Linked DNA regions of Drosophila melanogaster. The protein of the gene in region 3 interacts with the protein of the main gene of each other region in a pairwise test. Each region holds a gene or a part of one and is shown on either strand. Other genes may lie near its edges. The genes, in order: Tpc1, CG15080 and Als2.

Evidence for each region.
Region 1: the proteins of Als2 (region 3) and Tpc1 interact in a two-hybrid assay, tested with the Drosophila melanogaster proteins (one large-scale study listed by BioGRID).
Region 2: the proteins of Als2 (region 3) and CG15080 interact in a two-hybrid assay, tested with the Drosophila melanogaster proteins (one large-scale study listed by BioGRID).

Annotation. Positions count from the first base shown.
Region 1 is NT_033777.3:10,879,359-10,890,246, reverse strand, and holds Tpc1 (thiamine pyrophosphate carrier protein 1), read left to right. Parts: upstream 1-8,058; 5' UTR 8,059-8,684; intron 8,685-9,140; 5' UTR 9,141-9,242; coding exon 9,243-10,241; 3' UTR 10,242-10,675; downstream 10,676-10,888. Other genes in the region: CG6621 (uncharacterized protein), read left to right, coding at 1-332; Ak3 (adenylate kinase 3), read left to right, coding at 1,937-2,587; leash, read right to left, coding at 4,160-4,274; CG14696 (uncharacterized protein), read left to right, coding at 5,413-5,527, 6,333-6,700, 6,760-7,291, 7,355-7,713.
Region 2 is NT_033778.4:18,777,766-18,788,653, forward strand, and holds the start of CG15080 (uncharacterized protein), read left to right. Parts: upstream 1-5,533; 5' UTR 5,534-5,913; intron 5,914-9,389; 5' UTR 9,390-9,447; intron 9,448-10,888.
Region 3 is NT_037436.4:21,675,117-21,686,004, forward strand, and holds the start of Als2 (amyotrophic lateral sclerosis 2), read right to left. Parts: upstream 4,640-10,888; 5' UTR 4,383-4,639; coding exon 2,054-4,382; intron 1,935-2,053; coding exon 1,316-1,934; intron 1,253-1,315; coding exon 116-1,252; intron 58-115; coding exon 1-57. Other genes in the region: CG11248 (uncharacterized protein), read left to right, coding at 5,191-7,317, 7,379-7,507, 7,564-7,800; Sfp78E (seminal fluid protein 78E), read right to left, coding at 8,212-8,486, 8,549-8,726. UniProt on the Drosophila melanogaster protein: Has guanine nucleotide exchange factor (GEF) activity towards Rab5. Promotes the exchange of GDP to GTP, converting inactive GDP-bound Rab5 into its active GTP-bound form.

The DNA.
Region 1 (10,888 bases), on a different chromosome or scaffold from region 3:
CCTTTCATCGTCGGCGTTCTCCATCGCCCATTTTGAAACGCCGATCGCCTTCACCATTTGTGCCCCGTCGCACACCATCGCCGGCATCCCGCTATCGACGCAGCCGATCCCGCAGTCGCTCCCGCTCACGCAGTCGGAGTCCTCGACGCTTTCAGTCTCGCTACATGCCGAGGGATCGTGGCTCCGTGAATCGAAGCAGGTACTCCTGGCACAATCCCCATAAACGCAGTGTATCACGCACCGTGGAGCCAAATGGCAAAGATGAAAGGGCAGCTACTCCGCCGAAAAAGGGTGTTGCTGATGATAGATCTGGACGAGAAGAAAGGGCGTAAACAGGGCCTCGCCTACGAGTCTTAAGTTTCCTTTTAGCTGATAGGGTACATTTGATTTGATATTCAAATTTGTAAAACGCTCCCTTTGGGAATTGTTCATTGGTCACTAAATAAAGAAGCTTGCGAAGCGAATTTATTACAAACTATAACAATCAATCGATTATTGGTTCTTTTCAGACAACACGTAGCGTAAAGTAAAATCAGGAAATTGTCGGTATTTAAAATTTGAATATAGCGTACAAACATATAAAAATGTAAGTATATGAATCGCATATCTATGCAAAATTAATCAATGTTAGGATAAGTACTTCAAAACTAAACACAATAGTTTGTCATTTTTGTATTTCAGATATCAGATTCTGATTTTGCACATGGAATGAACTGAAAGTCCAACGCGTAGTGAGAGTGTAAGAGAGCCCCAATAGAGAGCGCAATATCCCGGAGAGTGTATCCCCCGCCGTGCCCCTTATCAACACTTCACGCTGCACTTTCGCAGTGAGAGACGGAGAGTAAGAGAAAAAGTGGTTAAAGAGGGGACGAACACCCGGCTGTTAGTGTTAGTTGGGGCTCCTAAGAGAGAGCTAAAGCGAGAGAGACAAGTCTGGAAGCTAAACAACAAGCACCAAGCAAACACGAAAGATAACGACTTGTTTCATTTGATATTCGCCAGCCGGCAGAAGCGGAACAAACAAAAAAAAAGAAAAAACAAACTTCGGACGCCGCAGCTGCGGACACGAAATTAGAATACTTACGGCGACAAGTTATCGCACAAATTAGTACGCGAACGAGAATTGCTACCGAGATACGTCGGCGGACACCCGAAATTTTTCCCAAAAACCAAGGTGCCGTGTAAGTGTGAAAGGAGGTGGTTTTTACCAGCTGCTAATTTATATAACTATGAAAGCCAGTAAAAGTGCAAGGCCGCGTGCAGTGCAGAAATGCAGAATTGCAGAAAAACAACACAACACGCGCGACATTAACACTAAACACGTACATATATACATGTCTACATATATTCTCTATAATTTTCCGTGCGGACTTTGGACGATAAGCGGGGCGACAACAATATCTGGTTATACATGAAGACAAAGAACATAAGGCTGAAAAGCCACGCTTGTCTCTTCTGTTTGTTGTTTTTGCTGGTGGCGCTCTTTTAAGTGTTTGCGCTACACTTGTTACCAAGCGGCATGTTGGTTCACGAGCACAAAAGCTGACAAGTGATTTAGTGTTATATTTACCCACTCTTTATTGCCGTGTTCGCTCACAAATTGAATGGAATCATTGGTTGGATTCCCGTGATTAGTCACACATAAAACACATAAGCTTTAGCGAAAACTATGACCTTCATCACCTCTGTATCAAACAATTGTGGCGTGCTTGATAGTCTTATCGCCCATAAAAGTAGTCGAGTATGGTCAACTGAAATAATTTTGGTTTTACTGCCAAGATTATATGTTATTGACCCTAAATCAAAATATAAAAACAGATCCTATATTAAATAGATAAACCGAATTTTTTTATCATATCATATTAAATTTAACCATGTATCAATTCAATTTTTTGTCTTGCAGCTCAAGGAGAGGTTGAAGAACTAGAGCTTAGACATGTTTACGAAAATCTTTCGCGCTGTGATAATCGGAGCCCCCGGCTCGGGCAAAGGAACTATTTCGGAATTGATCTGCAAGAACCATGGATGTGTGCACATCTCCACGGGGGACATTCTGCGCCAGAACATCATAAAAAACACAGAACTTGGAAAAAAGGCCAAGCAGTACATTGCTGAAGGTAAACTGGTGCCCGACGCGATTGTGACCAAGACGATGCTGGCCCGGATAACCGAGGTAGGCAACAGGTCGTACATCCTAGACGGATTCCCGCGCAATATAGCCCAGGCCGAGGCACTGGCTGCACGCGAGCAAATCGATGCCGTGATCACGCTGGACGTTCCACATAGTGTGATTATCGACCGGGTCAAGAATCGCTGGATCCATGCGCCCTCCGGCAGGGTGTACAATATTGGCTTCAAGAATCCCAAAGTGCCTGGCAAAGATGATGTGACGGGGGAGCCGCTGATGCAACGCGAAGATGATAAACCCCATGTGGTGGCCAAGCGACTGGAGCTCTACGATGAGGTGATGAGCCCGGTAATAGCCTGGTACGAAAAGAAGGGTCTGGTTGCCACTTTCAAGGGAAAACAGACAAAGGAGATCTGGCCGATGATGGAGCTTTTCCTCAACGACCGCATAAATGCGTAATGGAGCAACCCCGAAATTACATCCAATGTGCACAAACTAACGATAAACTGCTGTGTTCAATTAAGTGCATAATATATTTAGATATATATAAATGAATACGTATGAAATATGTATGTTTGTGGGCCGGTTAAGAGGAACAGGCGTATAATTAATGTAATTGCGAAGCCTTACACAGTAGCAGCTGTCATGTATTCCTTCTTCCACAGATATCATTCCCCTCATGAGCATGTCTTGCAGCTCCCCCCTTTTTTGTATAAACATATTTTTGTACTCGTATTCTGTGCTCTGATAATAAATCGCGTTTTTTATATATATAAATATATATATATATGCGCTGATAACAGCCGACTTTGACTTTTGGGCAGTTAACGGACAGCCGTCGATCTATTTTTAGGCAATGTCCACAAACCCTTGGCCCCATGCGTGAAGCCAACACTTTTAGCTTCACCTCATGACACCCAAATGCCCTTCATTTTATCGCGTAGCGCATTAATTTCTAAAAAATATGGGATAGTGTGGCGCTCCCGTTTAGTCTCGCGCTCTCTTACTCACACATGCACGGACCAGCTGCTGTTCTCACGCACACCTGTATAGTGGCAAATCACAACAGAGAGGCGCTTGTACAGTCAAGGGCGCCCAATTATGTCAGATTTAAAATTCTTTAAGTCATTTATAAAAAATTCAATAAACCACTTATTGTTTTAAAGGTATACTTCATAATAAAATGGAGATAGCTGTTTGCCTTTTAAACACTATACTTCGGAATATACCATTACTGGGAATCTTATTTCTGGATAATTAAAAAAAAAAACCTATATAAACCCCTTTGTGGCCACCACTGTGCTGCGAGCGCCCTCTCACCTCTCTCTCATTTAGACCCGACTTGCGCTTGGCCCAATATTACGGCTTTTTCGGCACGCCAACTGAGTGTGCCTCTCTTCGCACATGCCCCCACCGTCTACACTCCCCTCTCGCGCGATGCGTTTGGGTTGGCATTTCCTGAAACAAATGCCAGTACTCAAGAATCGTGAAGAACGAAAAGAAATTCAATTGCAATTGCAACGGGCGGCAATTGAAAGCTTATCGATGAATGAAAGGCGAGCGCCGAAGGCAATTAGAGGAATTTGCGAGCAAGAATCTCGAAATTGCGGTGAAGCGGAGGGGGAGGAAGCCCCATAAAATGGCCGCTGTGCTTTGTTAACTGATGGAGTTCTTTGTTTATGCGAATGGGGCCGCAACGAAAGTCCAGCTGACCATCGGGCGGACAATGGATTGCAAACCGCTGACAAAACAGAAAAAAGCACATTTCTATTTGTGGAGTACATGATGGGTTGTGCAGAAAACCATCTTTGTTAATATTAGATTACTATATCTAAGCTAAATCTTTTCGGTAATACGATCTATATGTACACATGTAAACAATACCCAGAATCATAAACTAAGAGCCTAACGTTAAATGTAGGGTTTTGAAACACTTTCTCTGCGTGTCTACAGCTGAGTCATGGATGATGCAAGCCGAGCTTTGAGATGTGCATTCCAGGAAGCGGCAAGTTATGCTCGACTGGCACTTACCGCGTATTTTGGTGCGCTTGTTGACGTTCATCCAGATCTCGCCGCGAATTATGTCGCCCGCAAAGTAAACCCGATCCGCGCTGTCCAGCGTGATTCGCAGCCGCTCGCTTTCCATTCCGCTGGCGTTGATGGTGATGACTCCTCCGGTTTGGCCACTTTCCTCACGCACTTATCCAAAAATAATTTCGTCATCAAAATGCCGCCACATACAAACGTACATGGATGCACTGCAGCACCACGGCCCGCACCACCCTAAAGTATATGCAGAATAGTAGCACCACCACACGCACTCGCCTCACGATTTACGATTTGATGTTACTACACACACCGCGCGGTGAGTGGGAGCTTTTTCGCGCTGATTGTGGCCAGTTCTTGGGGAATCTCGATATCCATCAATTCGCAATGGCCCACAAGTGTTGGTCGCACACCCCGGGCTAATTTAATTCGATTGCTGTCGTCCGCTGGCGGGTTGAATAATTAAATTTCTTATAAATTTACGAGATCCGTGAGTTACGCTTTTTTGTTGTAGCTGCAGCTCTCTTTCGATAACCGTGAGAGCGGCGGTCCGATAGCACGAACAGCTGTTGCGCGGTGCTGCCACCGGGCGCCTGGCCAGCTGAAGCGGTTAATTCGCAGACTTTTTAATCGGTATTTTCAAATGTGTCTAATTTAAAGTTTAAGTTCTAAACAGCGTTTCTTAAATGCACTGTTTTCAGTTGTAATGCAAGAGTTCAGAAATGCTTGGTAGTAATGGTCTTTTTTTATGGTTTGATGTTTGAAAAGAGAAGAAGAAACTCTCTGTTTGAATATCGCCAATAATTTAAGTTGATATATTTCACTACGAATAATAATTACCAAATATTTTACTGTATAGATAACAAAACGCTCAGCTTAGATGTCAGCGATGATTGAAGCATACATACATATTTTATTAAGATTAAACTTTAGTTGGCTTAGCAGCATAATGCTCCATATAGTATTTCGTGTGCTTCCCCGTTCTGTCCTTCGCTTCTTCTTCTTGTAACCTCTCGCGCACAAAAGTTTGCTTCTCGGTTCTTCGGTCTCACCAAAGACTTTTGAGAATTCAGTATTAAGCCAGAGCTGCTCGCGTTCGGAGCTTGCGAGCTGAGTCGCCGGAACCCTCGAATACATCGAATCCCTACCTCTTCCACCAACTATCAATAAAACAAACAAAGGAACTTGATAGCGCGATACCACCCGACACCGTCGCCAAGGAGCCAATTCTGGACAGGATGAGCAGCAAGGTGAACTTCGTCTTCGACAGCAATCCTTTGGGGCTCTATCAAGCCGGTCAGCTTATCTCCGGCACGGCGGAACTGATTACGGAGCGCCCCAAGACGATTCGATGTAAGTGACACCGACATGCGGAAGAAGACGCACTACATACATATGTATTCTAATGGACTCGAAACCATGACGTCATCCCCCTCCATCACCATTCAAATTCTGAATCCCATACCGTTTTACCATCCACTAATAAATAAATATCCACTTAATATTGTTGGTGCTTTGTTATCCGCTGGTTTAATGTTATTGTTGCCGGTAGATATGCTTGAAAGATGTGTATTGTATATACAAATGTACATATATGTATGTATACATAAAGTTTATATACAACACACATGTGGCCGCTTGGCTGGCTGGCGGATATCTGATAGCGGCGTAAAAACTAGTTTTGTTTTGAAATTGCGTACGCTGTTTGTATTATTAGATATTTGATTCAGTTACTGGTCAGCCCGTTCGTGCCAATACCTTTAAATTGTAGTGTATAGGTAGCATTTTGGGTCAATTAGGCGTAATTCATGCAGATATACATATATATATAAATTTATACAAATCCCATTAGCAAGCTAAGTGGACCCTAGCCATCGGTTCAAATTCAAATAATCAAATATTTCCTAGGGTATCAAATAGTCGAGCCTTAGCAGCGCTTTAATTTGATGGTGAACTTTATTAGGTAGCATTCGTTTTTTTTATGCTTCTGATTAAATTATTGTTAGTTCATTAACAAAGACAGTTGTTTGTAGCTGAGCAATTTTCCAATACAATTCTACATCCGAAACACACAAAAGGTCCAAGGTCAATGGCAATTAAACTAAATGCATAATTGAATTACATACCCGGCAGTACAGACAAATTAATCCAATTGCAGCGATCTTTATAACCATAAATGGATACGGCGAGACGCGTTGGCAGGAAAGCGAGGAGCGAGTGGGAGAGGATGGGAAGACGACCAAGTCCCTGGTGACCCACACCACCACCGAGGTCTACTACAGCACTGACCAGCCGGTTTACGGCCAGGCCGGTGGCTCGCAGCTGGAGTTGCCCACCGGCAAGTACGTCTTTCCCTTCCGGGCTACCATTCCGCCCAATGCACCCACCTCATTCAATGGTGCTCATGGTCAGATTAAGCACGAGGTTACCCTAACCATCGATCGCGCGGTTCGCTACAACAACACATTTAAGCAGTGCTTCACGGTGATCCTGCCACATGATCTTAATAGGCGGCTCGAGTATAAGGTATGTAGTCTTGGTTGTTCTTCCAAACTGAATAACCTTATGAAGCGCACTTCCCTTAGGAACCCCTCCAACGCTTGGAGTCGAAGAGCTTCTGGTGGGGCTCCATTTTCGGTGCCCACAAGCCGATGATCATGGACGTGAGCACCTCTTATTCTGCCTACGTCCCCGGCCAGAAGATTCATTTCCATCTGGTGTTGGACAACCAGTCGGATGTCCAATGTATGGACGTGAAGGTGCGTCTGATCAAGAACGTCTCATATAGAGCCAACTCATCGGGCGCAAAGGAGCAGTTGAAGGTAACCGAATCTCGGGTGGCGGACAAGCACTGCGGTGAGGTGCTGAAGCACAACAAGGCCAAGTTCGATGAGTTCCTCACGGTGCCGCCAACTACTCCATCCACGCAAAGCGAAAAGGATCCCATTCGAGTTAGCTACACATTGCGATTCATCGCCAAGACCTTCAAGCTGCACGGTGGTGGCGACTTGGTCATGGACTTTCCAATAACCATTGGCACAGTGCCGCTGCTGGGAAGTGCTGATGACAAGGGGCCCGGGGCGGAGAAGTCCCAGCCCAGTGGTGCCTCTCATCCAGGTGGGTTTTGCACTAAAGAAAGCATAATCGAAAGTGTTATTAATCGACGTTTCTCCGGCTTAGGCTCACCCAACTTTCAGGAGGACGTCAGCGATGAGCAATTCGAGTCCAACACCTTTAAGCCAAGATATCCCGTCTATCCATTTGATGGGAAGCCTGGAACCAATGGCTCAAACGGGGCAGCTAATTTTCCCAGTCTTTATCCCAAGGCAGAGGAGGCGCATCCTGCTACGCCTGTGAAATTCACACCAAATCCTGTGTCGCCAGCCGCACAAAAATCGCCACCATATACGACCAACACACCTGTTGCTTCTCCGCCAGGCGGTAATTTTGAGGTGCTTGGATTCAGTATACCACCAGACTATAAACCCACGCCTAGTGCTCCAGCCGCCTCTTCCACTGGCGGCATTGGGTGGAAATAGGGACCATAACTTAACCATTTTGTATTCTACACCTTAAGGCATTTTTAAATATACAAGAAAGCCCGCATAAGTGGCAACGCTGTGCATGTGACAGCTATATTAATATCGATAGTTAGTATCATTTTAATCCTAAATGGCCTTTTATTAACTCGAGTATAAACATAGTGATCTGGTTTCAGGAATTATGCTTACTATTAAAAAATATTTATGTTCCCAATTAAGAAAACCCTAAAACTGAATTTTAGCTTCTAGCTATTTTCTTACTATTGTTGTCAACCACGATAGCCGATAGTTGCCATCGCTGTTCGCTAAAAGCTCATCGCCAGCGGCTCGAACAGCTGATTCCGTGCACTTGGCGACGTAATTTAGTTTGTTTTGTTGTTGTTGCGTAGAGGTTTGAAGCAGCGCGTCTTGAATTCGGAAAACCAGTTTGTGGAAGTGGGAAGCGGCCAACTTGGACAGCGGCAGCAGGGGATTGACACAACTGCAACGGCATCTCAACGGCGGCGCTATTACAAGTCTGGCGAAAAGAAAGTTTTGACGCAATCCACGGGCCGCCGCCTGTAATGAAGAAGCGTCGGCGCCGCAGTCACTGCTGCACTCTGCCCGCGAACGGACGCATCTGCTCCAGGTGAGCTCAGATTGTAGTGCGCTGCTCTGGACATTCAGCAACATCATCATCATCACCATCGAGCGTGTTGCCAATGCCTTTGTCTCTTTATCTGAGCAGCAGCATCGGAATTTTGGGAACTGGACAACGGTCGCCGAGACATCGAACAACAAAAGCGGAAAAAAGTGAAATCGCTGATAAACCCGAATACCAACCGAGCTATTGTCAATCAATGAACGGCCGTTTGAACCTGGAGTCAACTTGGGAGCTCTGCGAATTGGCGGGCAATTGGCCATAACCGACCGAGATAATAGTGAAGTAATCGCAGAGACATACGCACGCTCCGTGGAGCATGATACTTGTAAGTCTCATCCTCAGATGAATTCCACTCCTACTATTTCCCAATTCCTGTCTACGCACTTGTACACAACAATTTGTCCATCGACTTTGATGAATGTGTGTAAACAAGTCGAAGTTTGCGCCCTGCCGCACCTCTAAAACGTTTTGAATGAAAGCTACAGGCAAGCTTTGCTAAGTCGGATTTTCGAAAACTCCATCTTTGATACCAGTAAAACCTAGCATATTTCATTTTTATCAAGAAACAATCTTAAGCTTTCTTTTTAACAGCATCTACCTTGAATTTCACAAGAGTCAAGTAAATTACAAGTAACCTTCAAAACAAATTCTTTATGATAATATATAAGCTATACCTATTAGATCCAGCCTCATAGAAGTTGCTAAGTCCGAGTTAATAGTTGCATCTACATAGTTCCGACTGTAATAACGTCTCCACCTGTCTGCGTTTCTTTATTTTCAGAAATGCCATTGAAAAGTTGGCAGTCGCAGCAATAAAAGTGAAATCCGCACGAGCAAACATACGCACACGAAAAGCAAAACCAAAGGTAGCTCCGACGCAGACATGGCGGTAACCACAGGCTCCACCAGTGAGGCGACCACAACCACAACTCCCGTTCCGCGACGCAAGCACAGTACGCGGGAGCAGCTGCATCAAATGCTGGCCGGTGGACTTTCGGCGGCCATTACGCGCTCCACCTGCCAGCCGCTGGACGTGCTAAAGATCCGCTTCCAGCTGCAGGTGGAGCCGCTGGGCAAGAACGCCGCCAAGGAGGGACCAGGAGCCCTTACCTCCAAATACACATCCATCGGACAGGCGGTGAAAACCATATACCGCGAGGAGGGAATGTTGGCCTTCTGGAAGGGACACAATCCTGCCCAAGTGCTGAGCATAATGTACGGCATTTGTCAGTTCTGGACGTACGAGCAGCTCAGCCTGATGGCCAAACAGACCAGCTATCTGGCGGATCATCAGCATCTATCGAACTTCCTGTGCGGCGCTGCGGCCGGAGGAGCAGCAGTGATCATATCCACGCCGCTGGACGTCATCCGCACTCGTCTGATTGCCCAGGACACCAGCAAGGGATACAGGAATGCAACAAGGGCTGTGTCGGCGATTGTCCGCCAGGAGGGACCTCGCGGCATGTACCGCGGTCTGTCCTCCGCCCTGCTGCAAATAACGCCGCTGATGGGCACCAACTTTATGGCTTACCGCCTGTTCAGCGACTGGGCGTGTGCCTTCTTGGAGGTGAGCGATCGCAGCCAATTGCCCACGTGGACGCTGCTGGGATTGGGCGCCTCCTCGGGCATGCTATCCAAGACGATCGTGTATCCCTTCGATTTGATCAAAAAGCGACTGCAAATCCAGGGCTTCGAGTCGAATCGCCAGACCTTCGGACAGACACTGCAGTGCCACGGAGTCTGGGACTGTTTGCGGCTGACCGTGCGCCAAGAGGGCGTTAGGGGCTTGTACAAGGGCGTGGCCCCCACACTCCTTAAGTCAAGCATGACGACGGCCCTGTACTTCAGCATTTACGATAAGCTCAAGCAGGTGCGCTTCTAGGTCGGACTTGGAGTCGGGGTTAATGGCGTCTGAAAGCAATTGTGCGCCCAAACGGAATCTACACTGTATTTTCTATTTTTATATATATTTACCGCAGCGCGTAAATAATATTAAGACTTAGGCTAACTCTGTTGATTAGTTTTCGGTTGTGCGTATCTTTTCTGGGGGTTCTGTTTATCATAGACCAATTGACTTGGTCAGCGCTTTAGTACACACACGAATAGTTGGCGCACCAGTTAAGTTATAGATTGTATGTGCTAGGTTGTAGTTCATTATTCGGCAGAGCACCTCTATTCACAGACACATTCAAATTTTTATTTATCTTTTGTTTGATTCGCAAACGAAACGACTGCGCTGGCAGTTCATTTGATATTTAATTAATATTATTACACCTAAGTATTCAGGGAATTTAATAAATTTGACTACATCACAACAGTTTAATAACTTTTATTTTTAATGAGTATTGTCCCTGCCTCCTAAGATTTAATTCTTCATATTTTTCTCATAATCTTTAAGCTTAAATGTTTCTTCCAATTGGAATAATTAGTTTTATGAACATGTTATTGAGTTGCAGCTGTTAAACTCCAAACATAATCAATGTTAAGAAAAGCTCGCTGCTGTGAGCTTTTTTGGTTGTGAAATTTAAA
Region 2 (10,888 bases), on a different chromosome or scaffold from region 3:
ATGAATGAATGAAGGGCAACATGCGAATGGCTTCAATTGCGTGAAATATCGTGCATAACTAAATTCACACGAGCAATTTCCAAACTGATGTTTCATTTTACACTCACTTCAAGGGCTTATTTCGCTTCACAAACAGAGATACCAGTGATACCTTAATCTACCATAATTTTATAGCCTAATAACTGAAAAGACCTTAGACCTTGAAAGACCCAACTTAATGGGTAATCATTTTAAGCTGCATTGTAAAAGGTATGACCATTGTAAAAATTAGTTAAAACAAAATTAATTAATTAGTGCTTGTATTTATTCGGTGAACAGGGAAGTACATATACATTTTGTTGTACAATTTGTAAGTGTATCTGAGGATCGTTATTGTATACCCAAGACTTTATAATGTTTTTATTTTTGCAACTTTCTTGCGCTAGGGCTTTGCCAATACTTGATCCCACAATAAACAATTTGATGTTTCGCGATTTTGTTTTCTTGTGCTATTTTTATCACTGCTTTCCGAACCTCAATTGGCGCAGATAGTTTTTTTTTTCGCCCAAATTGTACAATGGTCATAAGGTTTCGATGCTGTTGCTGAAGTTGTTGTTGTTGTTTTTTTTTTAATGTTGGTGCTCGCATAAAAATCGGCATGCATGAAATTGCAACTGCTCGAGCTGCGTTTCGCAAAATCTCGTCCAATTTACGGCCCGCCTGTCGTGGCTCCGATCTTACGCAATCCCACGGACCTCGTTGTCAGCCAACTGAGTTATGCTTATCAAAAGAAAACAGAAACAACTGAAATAAAGTATGTATATTGGCTATATTTTCGACATAACCACTTCTATGAATGATTTTCAGAAATATTATTTGAATAAGGGTGGCAGTAAATAGCCATATCGCAGATGTAACTATGTATAAATGTGTATTGGATATCACCGTTCTCTGTGTTCGCACTGATGATGATGATTTTTTGGTGATTTATCTATGTCAGCGCGTCTGCAGCATCCGTCGATCGCCTAAGTGCATTTCAATTTGGGGAGTGGAGCGGATCGAGATCGCGACAATGGCGCAAAAATCACATCGAATGGGGGACATCGGCTGCCCAGCAGCGCTCGCTTATATAATCGCTTGTCAATTGTCAAAATAGCGGCAAGACCCTTATCTAACGCCATAAAGTGCAATTCAGCGAATGATTAACACGAATATGGGCCGAAACAACAGCAAATACAGGTGAGAGCGCGTCTCTTTGAAACAATTTACAATTTACAAGTAAAAGTGAAAAAAAAATAATATTAAAAAGCCAAAGGCGCCAAAGAAGCCACAAGCGAAGTGAAGCATTAAAGCGCAAAACTACAAGCTTCAAGTGGACCATTTGGGCTTGGCTTTGGAAAATGTTCATGTTCATGGCATTTGTACACACTCTTATGCGTATATCGTACATCAAGTATACGCAGCGGTGTGCCAAGCTCATTAGGCAGACATTATAACATTTCTTCGCTGCGGTCGCACACCAACGTTTGCCGCTACTAATTTCCATGTCAAACATAGGCAGACAGCGAAATTTCACTCATCGTCAACAGCGCGCACCCACAAATCACTAATCACAAAACACAGAAAACAGAAAAGAGCGTGCACTTGAATTGAATCACATTGCGATTGAATTTTATTCGCCCGCAAACATTGCGTTATAAGCAATCATTACAGTGGAGGAGCATAGGAATGTCCTACAGGCGGGAAAAAAATATAATAGATTTTATGTATGTATATATATTTAACGATACAACTTTACATAATTGATTGCTGGGGGTATGTAAGTCCTCATCATTAATTCCCTAATCATAACTTTAAAATAACATTTTGATTTATAGATTTCAAAGTGTTTCTATTCTCCCTCGTGTCTTAAGTTTTCTTATTCATGAACATTCATTTTGTATCTTGTATCTGCGAATCGGACTGTATCTCGCCTGGATCTGGTTTCTTGACCCGTCTTCAGCCGGCTGCACGCAATTTGATGAATGCGACAGGTCGCAACAATCTGCATGCCACCGCGTAGATCCGTGAGTCAGCGAGGAACACATTACCATGTAATTTGCCAGCCAACGGTTGTGACATCGTGAGCGACTACTGACATTTTTCATTCAGCCTGTCTTCGATTTCGTTTCCGGCCAGCACGTAATTGAAATTACATTAAGCCAGAAATTTTGGCAGTGAAATTGCGTTCGATAATCACTTTCATGGGATTTAATTGTTTCCCTGTGCTAGACGTCACTGCTGGACTTTCGCTCTGCTCTGCTCTCGATCGAATGTATGTACGTTCGGACCTACATTAACATGCCAACTGAAGAGACCACTCCAAAACGATATGAAAATGAAAAACTAACTGAAAACACACACACTCACACTCACACACGCCCAATGCGGAAAATTGAAATGCAGTTGGAGTCACTGCAGCAAGTTTGGGAAAGGAAAGTGAAATTATCATCCCCCCGCAGCCACAGCCACAATCCAACTCAACTCAATTCGATTCAATTCATTTTCGATTTCATTCGGCTTGAGTTTTTGAATCGTTTCTAAGGTTCGCGCTTTTTAATACGCCGCATGCATAATTATTATGTGTTCGCATATGTATCTCCGCACTTAGTTACCAATTGCCGACACCCTGGCCTACAGTCTATAGTTTAGTGAAATTGAAAATCATTTTTGAAAGTGGTCAAATTATTCGCTACCCGACAAAACACACATTCCATGCGACCGTTTAGAGCGAATGTGTTTTTCTGTTTGTCGTAATTTTTCATCGCGATGTTGTTTGTGCTTGGGTTATATTTTCCATCTTTTTTGCTTTTTTGGTCACCGTATTACAAAATTTTAATTGCAGTTGGCAGAGTGAACCAAAAAAAAAACAACAATCCAGTTGAGGAAAGAGAAATGCGGAGAATGAATGCTCTTCGAATTGCTTGGGAGCATATGAACTCTGAAATGTATAAAAAAGATTTATTATCCTCAAGAAAAACGGTAATTAATTTATGATCGACAAGCGCAACACTTGAAAATGCACATTACCAATTAAAAGAGACCGTCTAAAAACAAGGAAAACTAAACCCGTACATAATGAGCTGATTAAAACCCCATTGTTCGGACCAATTTCCCGCTGTTTTCACCCACTGATACACTTCTCCCTCCTGATTTGTATCCCCCAATCTCGACCAGCGGCGACATCAACATAAAAACCAACAGCTCGAGCGGCAGATAAATGTTTGGCTAACCCAAATCCACACACAAGGAAGGAAACTAGCGATGCCTCTCGGCTCGAGAGGCTCTCCGCTGGCAATCCAGTTTTCCAGATTTCGACCACATTTTGACCAGCGCACTGCTGCAGTGCATTGCAGCGGGAGCAGGAAGCGTTTTATGGCCAAAAGCACCAAATAGCCAGCATTTTGGGCATCACCCGAGGGGCAGAGCAGCGGCAAAAAGTTGTCTTACTTTCGTGAGCCTAAATGCATTTGGCTCTCGATGCGTCGACGCATCGACAATCCAGCTCTCTCCTTTCGATTGCATAAGTGATATTTATGTCTTCTTGTCAGCGTTGCATCAGCATCAGTTGCGAATCACAAGCGACGGTTTATCTGCACCTGGCCCAAAAGATTCTACGTCTAATTGGTCTGAATTATGCCATAAAAACATGTCCAATTAAGTTGATCTATTTTATGTCGGAGTGTGGGAAATATTCGTGTCGAATTTTATGCAAATCTCGTTACTCTTTTCCGCATACGTCGCGGAAAATGCGCAAAGAGCTTGGGAAAAGCCATTCATAAACAGGGGCCTGAAGGTCGCGATCTGTTACCTTTGCCATTTGGCAGCGCCACCTTGGGCGTGTGAGCCATTTCAGTGAGACACCTGTGAAAAGGTCAACGCTAATTGCCGTCCCCCAACCATTGGCTGCCAATTGAATTCGATTGAATTTGATTCTCTATCTGCGAGGCAGGTGAAAGTGCTTTGTTCTAGAAACAGAGTTGCAAGCCAACTAAATAACATTCAGCGGAAGTTCAAGACGCGAGTCGCGGTTGAATGATCTCCGAACGCCAAGAGATCCCGTCACATAACTTAGGCCATGAGGTGGAAACCTTCCTCGTACGTCATCAGTCCGCACATAACTCACGCCCACCTGAGGCGGCAGGTGAGGCACACGGACAGACAGGTGGGCAGGCGTTATGACAAGTTGACTGATTGGATTTGCGGCGACGATGTTGCTGCTCCTGTCAATGCACTCATCGCCCGTCGCAATTGCCGCTGGAAAATTGAAATTGAAAAAAAAATGCGATTGAAAAGCGTCCGAGCATCTCGTTTGGGTTACCCAATGCATAATGGATAATGGCGGACGCTGAACGATATGCTAATTAACTTGATTTCCACGATCCATAAACGTCTCACTTAGACAATTGTTTGCTTAACGGAAATTGTGCGGCTGCCGGCATGAGAATATTTTAATTGCCCCAAAAGAAGTTGAAAAAGACCTCTTTTTAAGGCCAATTCTAGCAGACCAAAGAAATATTTGGCAACAAGCTGAGCACAAAAATGTATTTTAAACACCAAAATATTATCTGGAAAATATTATAAAAAGATTTAAATATTTATTTCTACCTGCGCTACTTGATTGCAAACATTTCAACCACATATTTAATCCCAATTTCGCACTTTTTGTTATTATAGGTTTTATAAAGTTTGTAACCAATTTGTAACAAAAGAAATGCGGCAAAGGCCAGCGAAGAAAAAATGGTTTCTACGCGTTTTAATTGCTAAATGTCAATCGGTTTATAGGTTTCCTAACAAAACAAACAAAAATACGAGGAAACGCGTACGAGAGAAGAAAAAAAAACCAAAACAAACAATTCAATTAAACTCATAATGGAATTTGTGTAGCAAGAAAACGACCTTGGCTGCAGAGCAAAGCCTAAAAAGCCAATTAAAAGCTAGATGCACGGCTCGAATGCCACATGGCACTGAGTCAGAATTATGGAATTGTTGTTATGTCTGGCCATATAGCCGCACATATACACATATATCACATATATCAGCGAGGGGTGTAGCACGATTCATAAGACCCCCACACAGTCGGATCGATTTTCCCAGCAAATGTGGTAAAAACTTGTCGCCAGCAAAGATTGCAAAACTGGAACAGCATCGCCGCAACTAACGCTAAAACAAGTTAGCATTTATGGCCGACTTGATTTGCATTTAGTGCATTCTTGTGGACACTCCCCCTTGGCAAAACTCTATCCCCATCCCCGTTTTGTTAATTTCAATTAACCACAACAAATCATTGGAGGATCATTTTTAGCTAGGAGCTATACCGCTCTGTTTGACCAAGTCTTTTGTTGGCCCAAAAGCTGTTAAAGCCGCTTTAGTTGCGCCGTTAACGCTGACTGCGACTGCGCTGCCTACTGATCTGCTAACTGCTCGGCCAGCGTCGACTTCGACGGAGGCAGTTGGATGAAAACCACGAGCGAACCACTCTTACTTACTTTGGCCCGCGACGCTTTTCATTTCTTCAGTCTGTTAACGGCACGCCAACGATGCAGACGCGTCTAAAAACCAGCTCCGGCTAACTGTTAACGCAAGATAGTAATAACTTGATTTGTAAGTGTAACACTCATACGCATCGAGTATACGCACAGTGGTACCAACGACATTTGATTTTGCATCTTTTGCCGAAAGTGCGTGAGCTTCCTGACGTCTCAAGTGGATAAAGTCAAAGTGAATTTCAAGAAATCGAAAATATAATTAATATACAAAAATAAAAGTAAAACGCTTGAATTGCTGCTAATTTGGCGAGTTGGGCAAGTTAGGATCTTAATTAAATTAAGCCAAGTGAAAGAGAAACAACAGCTGCCGTTCAGGAAGAAGAAGAAGAAGCAATAGAGGAGAGTGGTAAGTGGGGTTTTTATTTTTTATTTATTTTATTTTTTTTTTTTTTTTGCCAAAAAAGGCGAATAGAAATTTCAGCTCTCCATTCAACTAACCACACACTCAACGCATTCGACTGTCTTGGCAATTTTGCTGTTTATTTTTTCATGCTCTAATTATTTGGAAATTTCATTTTGTTTTTGCCCACCGACACTCGTTAACTGGCATGCAATTTGTTTGCCCAAAGACTTATGGACCATACATCTAACCAAAACAACCGTCCATCCTCTAGAGAGTCAAGTTGAGTCAAGCTTTATGGGCAGACTTCCTCGTTAAAAGATAAGGTGGCCAGACCCCTGACCAAAAGAAAAGAAACTGGTCCATCAGTATTCTGTGGGTTCGTTTTGGGTTTTTCATCTACATCTCTAAGTCTATCTCCATTGCCACTTCATTAACCCAATTTTCACCTGGAGAAATTTTATGTTTCGTACAAGAAAAATCTTGTTTATCAGGCCAATTTGCATACAGACCCCACTTCCGAGGGCCAGACATTTCTCTTCCCTAATCTTCGATGTGGCATCTGATCTTTAACGGAACTAATGTGTACACTTATTCGTTTGTTTGTCATTTTAACATGAGGGCAAACAGAAGAGGGAAATCATAAATTACGCCGTAGCGTCTTATTCGTTTTATATATGTATTTCTTTATTTATATTTATGCGAACTTTGTTTTTTTTTTTATGTGCGAGCGGACAGCGTTTTCGAAATTAAATACTTTCTAATTACAATAAACGCAGGCGATGGCCGCCGGCCGGCCAATTGCCTGTCGCACGTCCAGCAAAGTCCATATCGTAGCCTTTGGCAACGGGCTGAAATCACGTAGCCGCCGCATCGGCCAATGCCAGCCGATATAAAAGAGGGATGGGTTGGCAGCGGAGTGGTGAGGGGGGAAGTGGCGAAACAAAACTCGCGAAAGTGTCAAGAAAATATAATACTGCTCAGACTCACTTTTTCTTTATTGTCATGTCTTAATGTGGCGCCTGATGTGTTTATTTGCCACTAGCCTCCTCCGCCGCCAATTCATATTCCTACCCCTCCCTCACCTTCCTCCGATGAAAGTGAAACGTGCGAATGACTTTGCGTAGCTGCAGAAGCTTCCATCACTCGTCACTTAGCACGTGCCCAGCGATCCTACCCGTGTGGTCTTCGTCTTTCACGGCTTTCAATTACTCAACCGCATAATGTTCAATTTGTCAAGCGTTGAGCCCGGATTACGACTTTCTCAGCGGGCCAAACAAAAGACTTAAGACACAAACTTGCTTCATTAGTTGGCTTTGTTCGATGGAATGCGTTGCAGATCCTAATGCGCACAAGTTTTGGTGTTGATTACTCACGAATTGAGAAATCAATGCAACCATACCTTTGTTTATATTACAACTTAAATTATCCCAGATGATTTAGCCATACCAAAGAGAATTTCAATTTCAAAGATCAATATCGAATATGCCCAGCGGTCTTTCAAAACCATAATTATCTCGCACTAGTGACACGCACTGAATTCTAAATGTGAGTAATTGCAATGCATTCAGCAATATCAGATTCAAAGTGCATTTAAGCGGAGGTAAAAACTAAAAAATCAATTCAAATGGCTTCCAGGCCGGGCATTTATTGCTGGTTCGCTGGAACTAAATCGTGATTTGCAGTTGCATGTACGGCCTCCGTAAGACCCCCTGATCCTCCTTCGGCACCCCTGGAATACCCACACAGTTGATTAGTCAGCACCCGGCTGGTAGAGCAAGGCAACCATTTGGGGCTTTTTGCTCCGTTTTGTCTCTGTGTTTTCCTTCTAGACCGACAAGTTGAAGTATCTTGGCCTACTGAATTTTTTCTCACACTCCGTGTCTTGGTCACGGATGTGGATTGATTGCTAATGTTCATCTGGGCACATATATATCTGTATATATGTATATATATCTATCTGCGGCAGGCGGTTTATGTGGATACCCTCGCCAAGTTGCCGAGTTGCACAAGTCTGGTTTGGTCTGGGCCAGAATGAGGCCCACACTCGAGACGTGGCCAACAAGTACGGGTACTTGTGGCTATACATTTGCCGAGCCACTCTTGCTTTCTTCAGCTGCTCCATTTGGCGGCTGCTTTGTTTTGTCAGCGCTTGCTTTATGGTTTTTCATATATATAGAGTAGCTACTAGCAGCTACCTTAAGTATTGCTCTGTTGCAATTGTCACATTGTTTTGGGACACTTTTCTGCGGCTCAGTGGCGACGACGACTGTGGCAATAGTTTTGTAATTAGCTTGGCCCATCATTTGCGCAATTCGATTTGCGATGTCCCAGGTGATAAGTGATATTTAAGGCACTAATTTCGCTTGTATCCGGTTATCCGGCTTTTATTACGAGTTGCGCAACCACAGCGCCCCCGCATACCAAAATGTCGAGGGAGAAATACTTTCGCTTTCAAATGCTCGAGCATAAATTCTTGGGATTACGCAAGCTAAATGCTTGCGGCATGTTTTGGTTTGCTGAGCAGGTGCCGCCAATACCAAACCAAAACCAAAAAGCCACCTCCACCAGCTAAACAGCCACTTACCTCATTTGGAAAGCAGCGAGAAATGAAAGTTTTTGTTTTTTCATTTTTCTGCGTTGCGTGAAATTTACATTTCGTTTAATAATTTCAAACATTTCTTCGAGGTCGCTGTGGCATAAAATTTGAGGAATTAGTCGAACAAGAAATCAGCGTTTTTCCGTCCGTTTTCCTTCTGGTATCGAGTGGCTCTTTCCGGCAGGCCTGGCTAGCAACGCCCCCTAGCAATAGCAGCCATCAGACAGAAAAGTGCATTTCATTGTCGCTTTCGTTTCGGATTTGTATTTCTCTGCATTTTCTGTTTGGCGACGAGTTCATTGGCTTTGCATAATTTATGCGTTCGGCGGCCCAGCAGCAAAAACAATATGCATGCAGTATATGGTGGCCATCAATCCTAGACTTATCGTTAGCCAGTCACGCTAATTGGCCATAACTGTAACTGAAAGATCAGCGATTTCAGCACCCGAGCGATACAATCAGTCAATATTTAATGTGCGAGTTGTGCAAGTTTTTTGGCGGACAGTTGGCACAGTTTCAATTGATTTGCCAATAGTGATTCACATGGGTCACGCACATTCTTGGTTTTTTGCGCTCTAGTAAACCAGCTGCAGATCCGCAGGCGTTTCCAAAAAAAAAAAAAAATAGAAGAAAAATCCCCCTTAAAGTAGGTGTGTTTTTTTGCGTTTTATGTTTGGCCAACTAAGCGTGGCCGACACTGCAGCCTGCAGATGCAATTAAATCCAGATAGATAGCTCTAGAAACCGAGATACAAACGTGTCTGCCTGCTGGTGGCATTGCCACACCGAAAATAACACATCTTGTAATCCCAAGCATTTGCATCCCTTTTAATTACTCGTCCGCCTGCCAACTAATGATATATTGTTTCGTTTTTTCTTTGCAGTTACCTCGACGATCTTTGGGCCAAGTTAGTTAGCTGTCGACTGCTGCCGCTGTTTATGGTAAGTCTACAATGGAGCCGGAGTGACCTTGTCGCCTCCCCCGCGGATTAGATCGTGTGGTGTGGTGTATCAGGGTGTGGACACAGGTAATCCAATTAAATCACACCCAAATGATCAGCAAAGCGATGAAACAATGTCAATGCCAGGAGGAGGCATACACCATAATCCCTTCATGTTCTGCAGAGCAGATCTAAGCGGCTTAACTCTAAAGCTTGTTTACATCCGGCTCTGTGGCTTTTGGCCACTTACCAAAACGATTAATCCGAGAGACAACCACAGACACGCCCCCGTCAGCGAGGAAAGTCCGCTTCGATTCCAAAATGGATGTGTGTGTGTGTGCTCCGAAATGAAAGGGAAATTTTAAATTTCGAGTTACCTGGAGCCCAGACATTTCGCCTTTTCCGAGGGCATTGTCACATTTCACTTTCGATGATCACTGTAGATTTCAAGTGCAGTCCGCCTCTTTGGAAATAACAAAAACAAAAAAAAAACCCACTGAGGTGTGACGTTGTTTGCTTTGTTGAACCTTTTGATAACTGGTTTTTTCGTAGCGGCGATACGAAATATTGACCGCAAGTGAGTCTAATTTTTATTATTTTCCTGCCATCCCGCTCTGGCTGGCTGTACCCATTTAATAGCTGGCCGCCGAATGAACTTTCTTCTTTCACTGTGCCACCTGTAGACGACAGTGCTCTCCCGTTTTGATGCACCGCTGCAAGTTCCGTTTTTCGAAGCTGTTACGATATATATATTTCGCGTTATTTTTTTCTGCTTCTCTTGCCTGCGCGCGATTTTTGCGGACTTTTGCTTTCGTTTAACCCATTTAATGCGGCATCCGTTCGTTGGGGGCATATGTGCGATTAATTCAGTGGAAAAGTGAAAACGAAAGTGCTGAAGTTGTGCGCTCACTTGGCCAATGGTAGTGGTCAGTTATCAGGTTTGGTCAGTTGCTTGCCAGACTCACTTTCGTTTTCATATTCATATGGCGAATCTTCTGGCGTCCTCTCGGTCTCGGTATCAAAAAAATATCGAAGAAACTACTTAATGATTACGCCGACTGATGACGTAATTAGCATCCCAGCCGTATGCAAAACGATTTTGCAATGAGGAAATCTGTCGCCGATCATTGATCGCGTTTCATGGATCATGGCTACCCAATGGCGCATTACCAAAGCCAAGCCAAAAGCCACAGCGAACTGCCATTTCGCCTTAAGTATTGCAATTTCTCGCATTGGCCAAATGAAAACAAGCGCACAATTATGGCCACTTGGCTGCCGGAGCAGTTATGGCCACAGTCCGCTCGTCGACCAGTTGCACCGACAGTTACACTTGCCACACCAGCAAACCAATGCACTGCAATCCAGATGCCGTTGCGAAGACCAAGACCCCGGCAATTATCTCTTGATTTACAACCCGGCCAGCCAGCGAAACGGGGAGAAAC
Region 3 (10,888 bases):
TTTAACGTCTGCACGGACTCCACAAACTTGGGGTCCAACATTACATTGTGCAGAAAACTGAAAGCAAAATTGAAAATTACAAGAAAGATAAAATAGCGTAGACATTTTAGAATACCTTTCATGACCCATAAGTTCAACAAGCTCTTGGTCCTTTAGTTTCTCGGCAAGATTCAGATTCTGCCGATACATTTCGTCCTTTCGACTGTACTTATTTGCATACAGCACAAACAAAGTGGAGTAGATGCCCTCTGATAGCACGAGTGGGTATAATAGGGTAATATGCGATATGACTTCCCTGCTGCCCTCCATCTGGCAAAGTTCCTCGGGCAACGCTGGAAACATCTTCCGCACAAAGCGGTAAATGCGACGCGATATGGACTCCCACTCTCTCATGGCTTGCTTGGCCAAAATCGGGGTGGGTTTAACTTTCCAATAGCCATATGAGTAGTGGAAACAGTTGGCAATGCGCTCATTCAGCACGTACAGCGGGTGATGGCGATCCTTAAAAGCCTGCTCCAGGTACAAACGTATGGAGGTCACATCTTGCTCGGTAAGCACCAAAGCCATTCCAAAACTGGGTACCTGGTCCAGCACTGCACTCGTTGTAGACGTTGTTGATGTTATCGAGCAATCGATGTTGTTCATGTGCTTCGAAATGCTGTTATTGTTGTTGTGACTTAGTTTCGAAAAGCTTTCATTGAACGTGCTGGATTCATCGCCGTTGACAGTGCTGTTCATGAGGCTTTGGTCCAATTGGAAACTAGCCAGACTACTGTTGTCCAAGTCACGAGATGTATTGTGGCCCATAGAGATTAAGCTATCCGCTCTCTGCAATCCGCCTGGCTTGCTGTTCAGTGCCTCTTGGGATTGGATTCGTCGCGGTGGAAATCCCAAGAAGTCCAGCGCCGATGCAGCCTCCGTTTGCAGCTTGCTCAGTGCGCTGGTGGTGGTGCGGGCCTTTGCCAGTGGGGATGATGTTTTTTGCGGCAGCGGCAGACTGAGCAGGATGTTGTTAAAGTAGTTGCCAGGCTTTGTTCCTTCCCGAGCCCGCTGTTTGCTCATGTACACCGCTATGCAGTTCCAGATTTGGGCCGTGCTCAAAGTGGGTTTCGAGGATTTTCTGAGGGTGCCAGCTGATTGATTGCCTCCAGAGCTGCTAGTGCTTGCCGTGCAATTGGCAAGGTCCGATTCAAAGTTGTTAAACAATGATCGCCACTTGCGATTGTGATCTACCACTTGGCGCCCAAGGGAGCTGCAGTAAAGCCATTATATTATTTTTTCATTGAAGTACGTTTGTGGGTTCTTATTGACTCACCTGGGGTACTTAGGAAAGCGCCGATTTAGTACCAGTTCACCGGCCTGTATCCGCACCGTGTCCCAAGTACCACTAAGCTGTCCAAACATTTTGTTCCCAATAAGCTCGCAAGTGTCGTCGAACTCCCCGGTCCCCATGGCACCGCTTCCTCCACAGGCATCTCCACTGGGCATGTAGTATTCCCCCCGTCCGTTTGGGCCGAGGAGCGTGAGTTCGCCCTCGTAGTAATAGTCGTTCTCGAAGACAGCAACCCCACTGCCTGTGAGATCGTCTCCGGAGAAGCTGCCCTCGAAGTAGTCGCCGCGGTTGGTGATGCAGCTGCCGATTCCAGATCGCTTGTTATCCGCAAACATGCCCATGTACTTGTCCCCGCTAACCAGATCCTCTATCACTCCGTATCCACTGCGTGCATTGGCCTGGTACTCGCCCACGTAGATGTATCGGTTGTTCCGCATCACTCCATGGCCGTGAAACAGGCCCTCGCAAAAATTTCCTTCGTAGACTTCGCTCTCGGGGGAATCCTTACAGTGCATTTCGTAAACACCGTGGCCGTGGAACCGGCCACCTTTAAAGTTACCTACATACAGCCCCGTTGTCGGAATCACCATTTTGCCGAAACCTTAGGAATAACGTTCTTTTAATGCTTTTTTCTATCTCTAAACTATCGTTTTGGATGATCATCGATAATTTACATAGGAGCTATATAACTAAATAACACCCAGGTCAATTATAACTCACCTTCAATGATCCCGTGTTGCAGCTCTCCGCAGTATACACTTCCGTCTGGATACTCAAGGTAGCAATTTCCGTGGAGAACGCCCTTTCTCCAGGTACCGCACGCTTTCACCCTGGAGAACTTTGGGTGTTCCCGACTAAACTCGTACCCCGTGGAGCGATAGCTGGGCACAGGACTTCCGAGAGGTTTGCCCAAGGACGCTATAATGCTCGATTGCAACTGGTCCAGCCACACCTTGCGCATCTCCTGCGAACGGGTGCTTACCAGAAAGGATTTTTCCGGCGTGGTCAAGCGCAGGCTGTCGCCTTCGGTCCACACCCACAGGGTAGTTAAGGGATACGAGTACAGCGAGTTGCCGCTTACCTGGCAGAGGAAGTCCGAAAAGAGAATGAAACTGTTGCTTGACCTGCTGATACCAGAAGTGACTAGTTTCAATGGAACCAAAGCCGACGTCAAAATAACCCTTCTGTGACGTCCTCTGAACTGCACAATCCTCGGGTTTCTATCGTTGCTGCTCCAGAAATCCTTGGTATTCACGGCGAGCTCCTGGCTGATGCAGCTGTGCCGCGCGAACTCCGACCAGGCCACCCTATGCTCTCCGTACTCAGATTGCGTCCTCACCAGCAGCTCCATAAACTGGACAAACAGCTGGTAGATACTGAAGGGTTGCTGGAACAACCGAGTGACGTAGCTCTCCTCGTTGAGCTCGGCCAGCGGGCTGCTGAGTCCAGTAATGGCGACCACCGCCTCTCCAAATCCATTGACCGAGAACACATCGCAATAGGCCTTTGTGTAGCCGTCAAACAGATCGATGTACTCTTTGTAATGACAGATAAACAACAGGTCGGCAGGCTGCACAAAGTCCGCTCGGTAGAATCCCTCTAGCGAATGCAAAGTGGCCACTAGCAGGCACAGTATTCTCTCCCAGTTGATCAGCAAGGGACCGAGGGCGCTGAGCGGCTCCAGTGCCGACTGTCTTTGCCAGATTTCGAGTGTTTGGACTGCCTGTCGATGCTTGAGAAGCAGTTGTAACTGTGACTGCAGATGACTCAGATAGTAGTGATACTGCCGCTGGAACTGCCTTTGGTTTTGAAGTGTGTATCCGCCAGAACACATAAGCAAACGTAGTTGTCTGGGCCACGCTGCTCCCAACTGAAGCTGGAGAAGCGTCTGCGCGTATGTGCTGGACTGCTGCAGATGTCGCATTGGAGGCGCAGGTTGAAGGGAATGTATTTGACCCGAGGCATTGAGCAGTAGTGTATGGTAGTCGCCGCAAGTCGCCTCAAGCGCCGAGTTTTGTTCTATGGGTAGTGCTGCCGTGTTTTCCGTAATTGTGATCTCCATGGGCGAGCTGACATCTTCACCCAACTGAGAGTGGTTGTTCAGGCCCCAGTGGTAGAGCCTTCCGTCCAGAGTGCGGGCCACCGTGTGCTCTAATCCAGCTGCAATGCTGCACACGCCCATGCTGTCTAGTTTCTGCAAGCGCATCACATTGGCCCTCCGGATATGATCCCCACTGCCCAGGAGACCATTATTGGAGGCTCCGAATGTGAAAAGTTGGGTGTGGAGCAGAGCGTATCCTTGGTGAAGAAGGTGCCTTGTGTTAGCCGCAACGCTGCGCTCCGAGTGGCCACTGCTTATGGATTTTACAGAGGCCCGTTCATCCTCGGGTTCTTCCTTCGCACTGGCCACCGACAGCTGGAGTGCATCGTCGGCCAGGTTGTAGGGAGCTACTAACATCACAAAGTGCTCGTTTCCGGCTGCTAAGTCCAACAGTTCCTTGCCCTCTTCGTAAAGGCGCATGTGCCGAGGCTGTTGTTCTGCCTTGAAGACTTCGCCGCAGCTGCCCATGACATAGGTCTCCCCACTAGCGCCGACGAAGACAACGCCCTGGGCGGAGCAGCAAACCCGTCGGATGCGTACGCCCTCAGCATGCAATTCGAGAGGGTCGAAACCGAGGGTTTGCCACGCATGTGGATGACCCACATCCCGGCCAGATCCCGTGGCTTGGCGCTGCACAGAGCCATTGGTGAGGACTACGAATAGTTCCTGACTGCCGGAGCAGAAGTCCATATCCACAACATCGGTACGCAGGAGTTGAAGATCCATGTGTTCGCGGTTGGCCTGCAGCTTGGCGGAGTAGAGGGCGTGGTCAGTGGTCAGAAGGAGCAGTTCCCCGCCGGCATTGCTGCAAATCCGGGATGCGGGAAACCGCTGCAGGGGCGGCAATCCGCGCCAGTGAAGCTGTAGCTCCCTGCCTTCATGATAGATGGTGAAGGACTCCCGCTCCTCCTGACCCCCAAGTGCCGAGTCATCCGCTGCACTGGCCATGATGTGCAAATTTTTGTTGGGGTTTTGGACAGGGCCAAAGCTTTGTAACACGACGCAATTGCTCGATTTGTCTGCAGGTCGTTCTCACATCGTGCACGTGCTCCGGTCCACGCTAGGCACTACTGGCACCAACGAACATCATATAACTTGATTCGGAATGCAACTCTAGCTGCCACGATAAAATAAATTCTGTTTTCACTTGTTCTTAACTGGCTAATAAGAATTCATGTTTTTGTGATGGTTTTTTGGATTAGTGTGACCAGCGCTATCGAGTCCCAATGAGAATTTATTAAGTAAGGGTGTTCGGGTAAAAGTGACGTTCTAAAATTGGGCTTATCACTATTTATTTGGTCCATGCAAATTGTTGTTTTATAACCAATTTTGAAAACACACATAATACCTTATACGTAAACTCAATATTGTAGTTAGCTAGAACTCTTATATAAATTTAAATAACTCCTTAGTTGCATTCGCCATAATCATGGAACCAGTCAACACAAAAAAGTTATTTTGGTATTTTTTTGCGATACATCAATTTGTTTTAATATGGTCATATTGTTTTTGCCATCAGCTGTTCGACTCAAAAGTTTTTGCATGTTTTGTTTATTTCGCTTAAAATGTAGTTTTATCGTTAATTAGGAAAAGTTACCCACGGTAAAAAAAAACAACCGTCAACAATTGTTCAGAAACATCAACTAGTACGACTCAGTGGACACCTCCGTGTGGTACTGCTGGTTTGCATACGCCCACAAAAGTTGTTTTAAGCCACAAACTCACCCTCCTAAAATAAAATTTTTTCAGCTCGGTTATGGATTTGGACTGCGAGGGCGCTACAGCTTTGGCTGACGACTCAGGGCACTTTAGCTGCACTAGCGATGATGGAGTAGGAGATCCTGCTCAGAAACCGGCGCCGCAGCCTGAACCGGACCAATCGATTTTTCTGGTGCGGCAAGAGCTGCTTCGGACGCGCAGTGAGGTGCAAAGGCTCTTAAAATCGGAGCAGTGGTACAAGCAGGAGCTTAAGTCCCAGAAGCACAGCAGGCTACAGACGCTAGAACGATTGTACGCACAGGAACGGAAGTATTTGATGGAGAACCAGAAGCTGCAGCAAGAATCGATCCGCCTGCACACACAATGCGCCACTCTGGAGAAGCAGCAGGAGCAGGGCTCACCATTTTCCCCTGGCTCATCGCCGTTTAAAGCAGACTCGGAGTCACACGACTCCTCTTTTGAGGCCAAACAGCAGGAGGCGCGCCTACGGGATCAGCGTCAGTTGATCGACGTGCTCCGAAGGCAAAAGAAGATGCTTCTGGACGACATCCAGAGGATCAGTCTGGAACACGATGAAAAACTTTCGCAGTTGCAGCAAACTGTTGTCGGCATGGAGCTGGAGAGCAAGCACGTGACTGGAAAATGCAAGCAACTACTTGACCTTAAAAGTCAAATGGAGCACCAGCTAGAGCTAAGAAGCACTACCCTACGCAGTGTCACCGCGGAGCGTGATCAGCTGCGCCAAGTCATTGCTGAGCTTAACGAGACGCTGCAAACGCAGGAGCATCTGTTAGCGCTAAAGGAACAGGAGTTCCTGGATTTGAAACAGTACTACCAACAAAAGCTGAAACGGGAGAGTAGCATGGAAATTATGCACTCTTATAGCATGAAATTTCACGAAGAGATCAACAGAAAAACGAGTGAAATTGCCAGCCTTAAGAATTCTCTTAACGAGCTTCAGGCCGAGCTGATGCTGATGTCTCACATGAAAGAGCAATGCGAGGAACAGCAGCGTCAGCTTGAGCAACTGGAGTTCGCATTGCAGGCACAACTTTTGGAGGAGACTCAACTTCGGCAAAGCAATGCTCTAAAACTGGAGCAGGTGGAAAATTTAACAATTTCTTTGGCTTCGTTACAACTAGATAAGGAAGGCTTAAAAGAAAATTTAGGTGAGGCGCAAAAGACCTTGAAAAATCTACAGCAGAAGGTGGACATTCTTCAAAAACAGTATGCCGAAATGTGCTCCTTGTGTCAAAAGACTAAACAGCAATTGGAACTGGAGAAAATCGAGATTGCCAAAATGAAGCAAAACGGTTCCTTAAAGGAAAGTGAGCTAATGGAGAAACTCAAAGATTATGCAGCGCAGTGTGATGAGCTGAGAAAAGCGTTGGCCGAAGCAGAGTCCCGTATCGATGTCCAAATCAAAAAGACAGAGGGCTGGCAAGTGCAGTTGAAACACAACCAAGCGACCCAAACGGACCTCGAAGATCCGATTTTAGTTCAACGCATTGAGACTTTGGAACAACAACTAGCGGATGTCAGGAGCCAAAAATTGCACACAGTTTCGCTGCTCCAAATACTGCTTCAACAGCAAGAAGCTAAAATCAAGAGCACTAACGAAATGGAAGCAGACTGGCAACAACTGTTAGATGCTCTGCAAGCTACTCAAAGCTTGGAGCAGGAAATGCGATCAGAACTACAGCATAAGACGGTTGAATTGGAGCACCTGAATGAATTGTTCGCTGGACAAAATGATGAACTGCAAAAGCTCCAGAAATTGAGCCAAGCGCAGGACGAGGAAAATCGACTAGAGTTACAGCTTTTGAAGAAAACATTCCAAGAGAATCTGAAGATAAACTCCGCTGCGTCGATTAACATGCAAAGGCTGCAAGGCCAGGTAAAGTCTTTGCTAGATGAGAAGGAGGAAATTGCGCGAGAAGAACGCAAAGCAGTAGAGTGTTTGCGATCTCTTGGTCACGTTCTTGAGATGGAAACAGGAAGGAGGCTACCACATATAAAAAGCTGGCCTCAGTTGGCCAAAATTCTTCGAAAGGAACTGCGAAATGGGAGGGTTAACAATCGAAAGGCTGAAGAGCTTCCTGGGCTTAAAATGAAGCTGGCGGAGATCAGCGGAAGGCATCAGCAAGCTTTGTCAAAAATTAAGGTATGTTATGTCTTACTCCCTTAAAGTAACTCTTTGTAACACAATTAATTGCTTTTTACAGTGTCTGGAGCACACTTTGGTAATGGAGCGAGCGCGGTTTGAGGCCTCGGACTCGGGCAAATCGACGGCTAGCAACACGCCCCAGGAACCCGCCCATGAAGTGGCTAATCTTATTGATGACTACAAGAAGGTAAGTATGTTCCCCTCCGATTGGCTTCTCTTGACATTTCCTTAATTGATTTACAGCTCGTTCAGCAAACCGCCAATGAAACATGTCGCCCTCGCAACAGCTTCATATTCGATCTGATTGAGCGGAGTCAGCGATGCCAACCGAATTTGTGCCAATTAGGCGAGGGTATTTCCGCCTGCCAGTCTGATATGAAGGAGCTAAGCAGGATTATTATTGCTGGTCGGGAACGGAGGAGAGTGGAGCCCATGCCCTCCCTCATGGATGAACTTCGAGCGGTGGCCGAGCACTCTTAGACGAGCATAATTTAGTTTTCAGTCAAATACTTATAAATTTCCTATTTAGTACCTATTTGTTTAGTCTCAAATTTTGTTTTCCTAAAAGGGGCAATTAGTGAATTGAGTTTTTGTGCCTAGTCTCATAGGCCTAATTTTCAATCAGATCCAACTTAGTTCAATTTATATAAATATTTATTTTGTTGTCTTTTGTGTTCGTTATCTTTATTTATGTGTAACGCATTCTGTTAGTTTCACCAATTCTATATACATACTAATTGCCAAACTATACCAATATTTTTTCTACAAGATATATAAACCATTGTTGGTTGCCACAAAAATGTGTAATTATTTTTATAGTCCATAACATTTAAAGTTAAAAACCTTGTGTAGATAAAACATATTTGTGTGAAGTCGATCAGTGCACATCATTTACTTTCGTGGGCACCTAGGGATTTTAGTACCATCGTTCTCCGAAATAACTTCCTTTTTGTCATATATCGTATTTCCGTTTTCATCCACGTCCAGAACTTCCTGTATTACCCCTTTTCGAGTTCGTGTTATCCCACACATAGGCTTATCGTTTTTATCCATGCACAAAATCAGGAGCTCAGTGTGCTGTAGATCAGAGGGCTTTAGGACCTTTGTTACCTTACAAGATGCCGTAAACTTTATGGGGCACGTCACCCCGGCACATTGCCAACCATCTGGGGGGAAATAATTATTAACATAGATGTTCCAATACTACTCGTATCCATGTAATCCATACACTTAGTCTTCTTTACCGTCGCTCGATTTAAGTCCTCATTTAGGTGCCGATCTCCGTCTGCCTTAAAATAAATGTACGATCCATAATACTCCATATACGGATTTACCCTTACCACGGTGTGGTCAGCAAAAGATAAAATGGCCAGCACTACCAATATTAAGGAGATAAAGATATTCATAGCTCAACCTTGCTGATGCAGTTTTCCTCTATGACTGATTGATTCAAACAAGTCTGCTGATGTATTGGATCAGCCTAATGTGTAATGTGTGTGTTCCACAGAACAAAGATACACCCCTGCAACTGAGTTCAGAATTTAATAACACTATAGTTTATATACGTTTCCGGACGTCTTACATTGGGAATTGTTATTCCTGTATTGTATTCACAATCAGTCACTTAGAAAGTCGCCTTGGAAGCGGAAACATGTCTTCGTCAGGGTGACTTAAGCTGTGGCAAATTGATTCTCCAATCAGAGACGGTGGCATTCTTTTCCATTCCGTTCGAAATGCATTAGGCGTAGGTACCCGACAACACCCTTGGCATTGTCAACGCCTGGAAAGGAATCCGGAGGGACCCGCACGAGGAGGGCGATCCACTTGGGTATTGATAAATGCGTTGAAAACTAAGCGACCGCCCAGTGGATTACCACGGCCCCACGCCAGGCTGCCCGATTCCCGATCCTCGACACCCCTCCCGCTGCCAGCTCGCGATGAGGAGCAATCGACAACAATCGCTGGTCAAATTCAATTGGCGCAATTTTTCATCTGTGGCTCCCAGGGATCCGATCTGGCGGATCCTTTTGGCTCTGCCTGCTGCCGTCTATTGTTGCCCTGGGCCTTGGCAATTGTTCTCGGCTCTGGATCTCTGGAGCTATGGGGCCATGGAGCCACGGGGCCATGGGCTATGGAGGTATATGGCTGCGGAGCCCTTGGGCTCAAGGTTGTTTATTTTGAAAAATCACCATCACCCGATCGTGGCTTGTGCCGACGGCTGGGGATTTAATTCTGTTCTGGACATTTATAAATTGCATTCAATTTATACACAACACGAAAGCGTGATTTTTACATTTTTACAATCTAGCGAATAATAGATCAGCGTCGTATTATTGCGGACTCCTTGCTCCAATGCTCTTTGGGGCCATACCTTCTTTGGGTCTCCAGCCCGTGCCGTGGACTGGTAGTTGATTGAAAGTAGTGTTGCTCAGGCAACAACTAAACCAATAAAATACGCAAATATCTATAATATTATTATTTATATATTCCGTTGAAATTGAAATTATCCTATCTTAATACTGTAAATATATATTTTTTATAATTTCTTAACGTCAACAGCAATAATATATAATAATATATATAATATAATGTAGTCGTAAACAATTACTTATTCTGTTCAGTAATGATACATTGTTGAATGCTTTTTAATGGCAATAGCCTTAAATTCGGCGAAAAGTTGAATAACTACGATTTCATTTCGTTTTTCATTAAAAATGTTGGAAATGTAAAAATTTCAGATATCTCTTAAAATTGTCTGTTTACCCGCATTGACACCCGTTCGAGGTCTATTATTATTGGAGTCCAAGTTCCCAGCCAGGTCCAGCAAGGTGGGGACATCGTGTCGTCCGTCCGAGGGTATCATTTTATTCGATGAGAGTGCTTTTCGCTGTACTTCTCTGGGACTCTTTGATTTTTTGATTTCGGTTCTGTGCATTGAGCAGGTCGCTCATTAAAGCGGAGTAGTAGGCGGGTGAGGAGTGGTTGAGCTGAGGGAGCGGTGCTGGCCAAACAAAAGGAATAAACATTTAATTCTCACCAAAGCGATTGATGCTGTCGAGGGATTGAGAAGCGATGTCGAGCACCGTCCCATGGCCTATCTGCCGGGCAAACGATCCTTCTGCTCCGGCAGGGCATCAAATCTGGTAGGCCAGTCAGTCCTAGTGCCAAATTGCAAATTCAACTTGTTAACCTTGAAAGCCGATCGGACGGATCAGCCGGCGGACAGACAGTCGAGGAGCCTGACCGCAGATCGCGCACAGTATGAGGCATTTAGTCAGACGTCGTCGTTGTTGCTGTAGTTGTTCTTGCTGCTGATACCACTGATGCCGCAGTTGTTGTGGTTCGTCGACGATCCCTCGTTTGTCTAGCTGATGCACTGGGGGAAATCTGGAGAGTGTAGTGCTCACCAGACCAAAGTTTGTCTCTGCTGAACACAGATGATTCAAGTCATCAGCAACATCTTAGCAAGTATAGCCTTCTATTATTATTATAGTTTTTAATAACGATCTATATAGAAAAACATTTTTGGGTCTATTTTCGAATGCAACTATTTTAAAGCCGAATTATG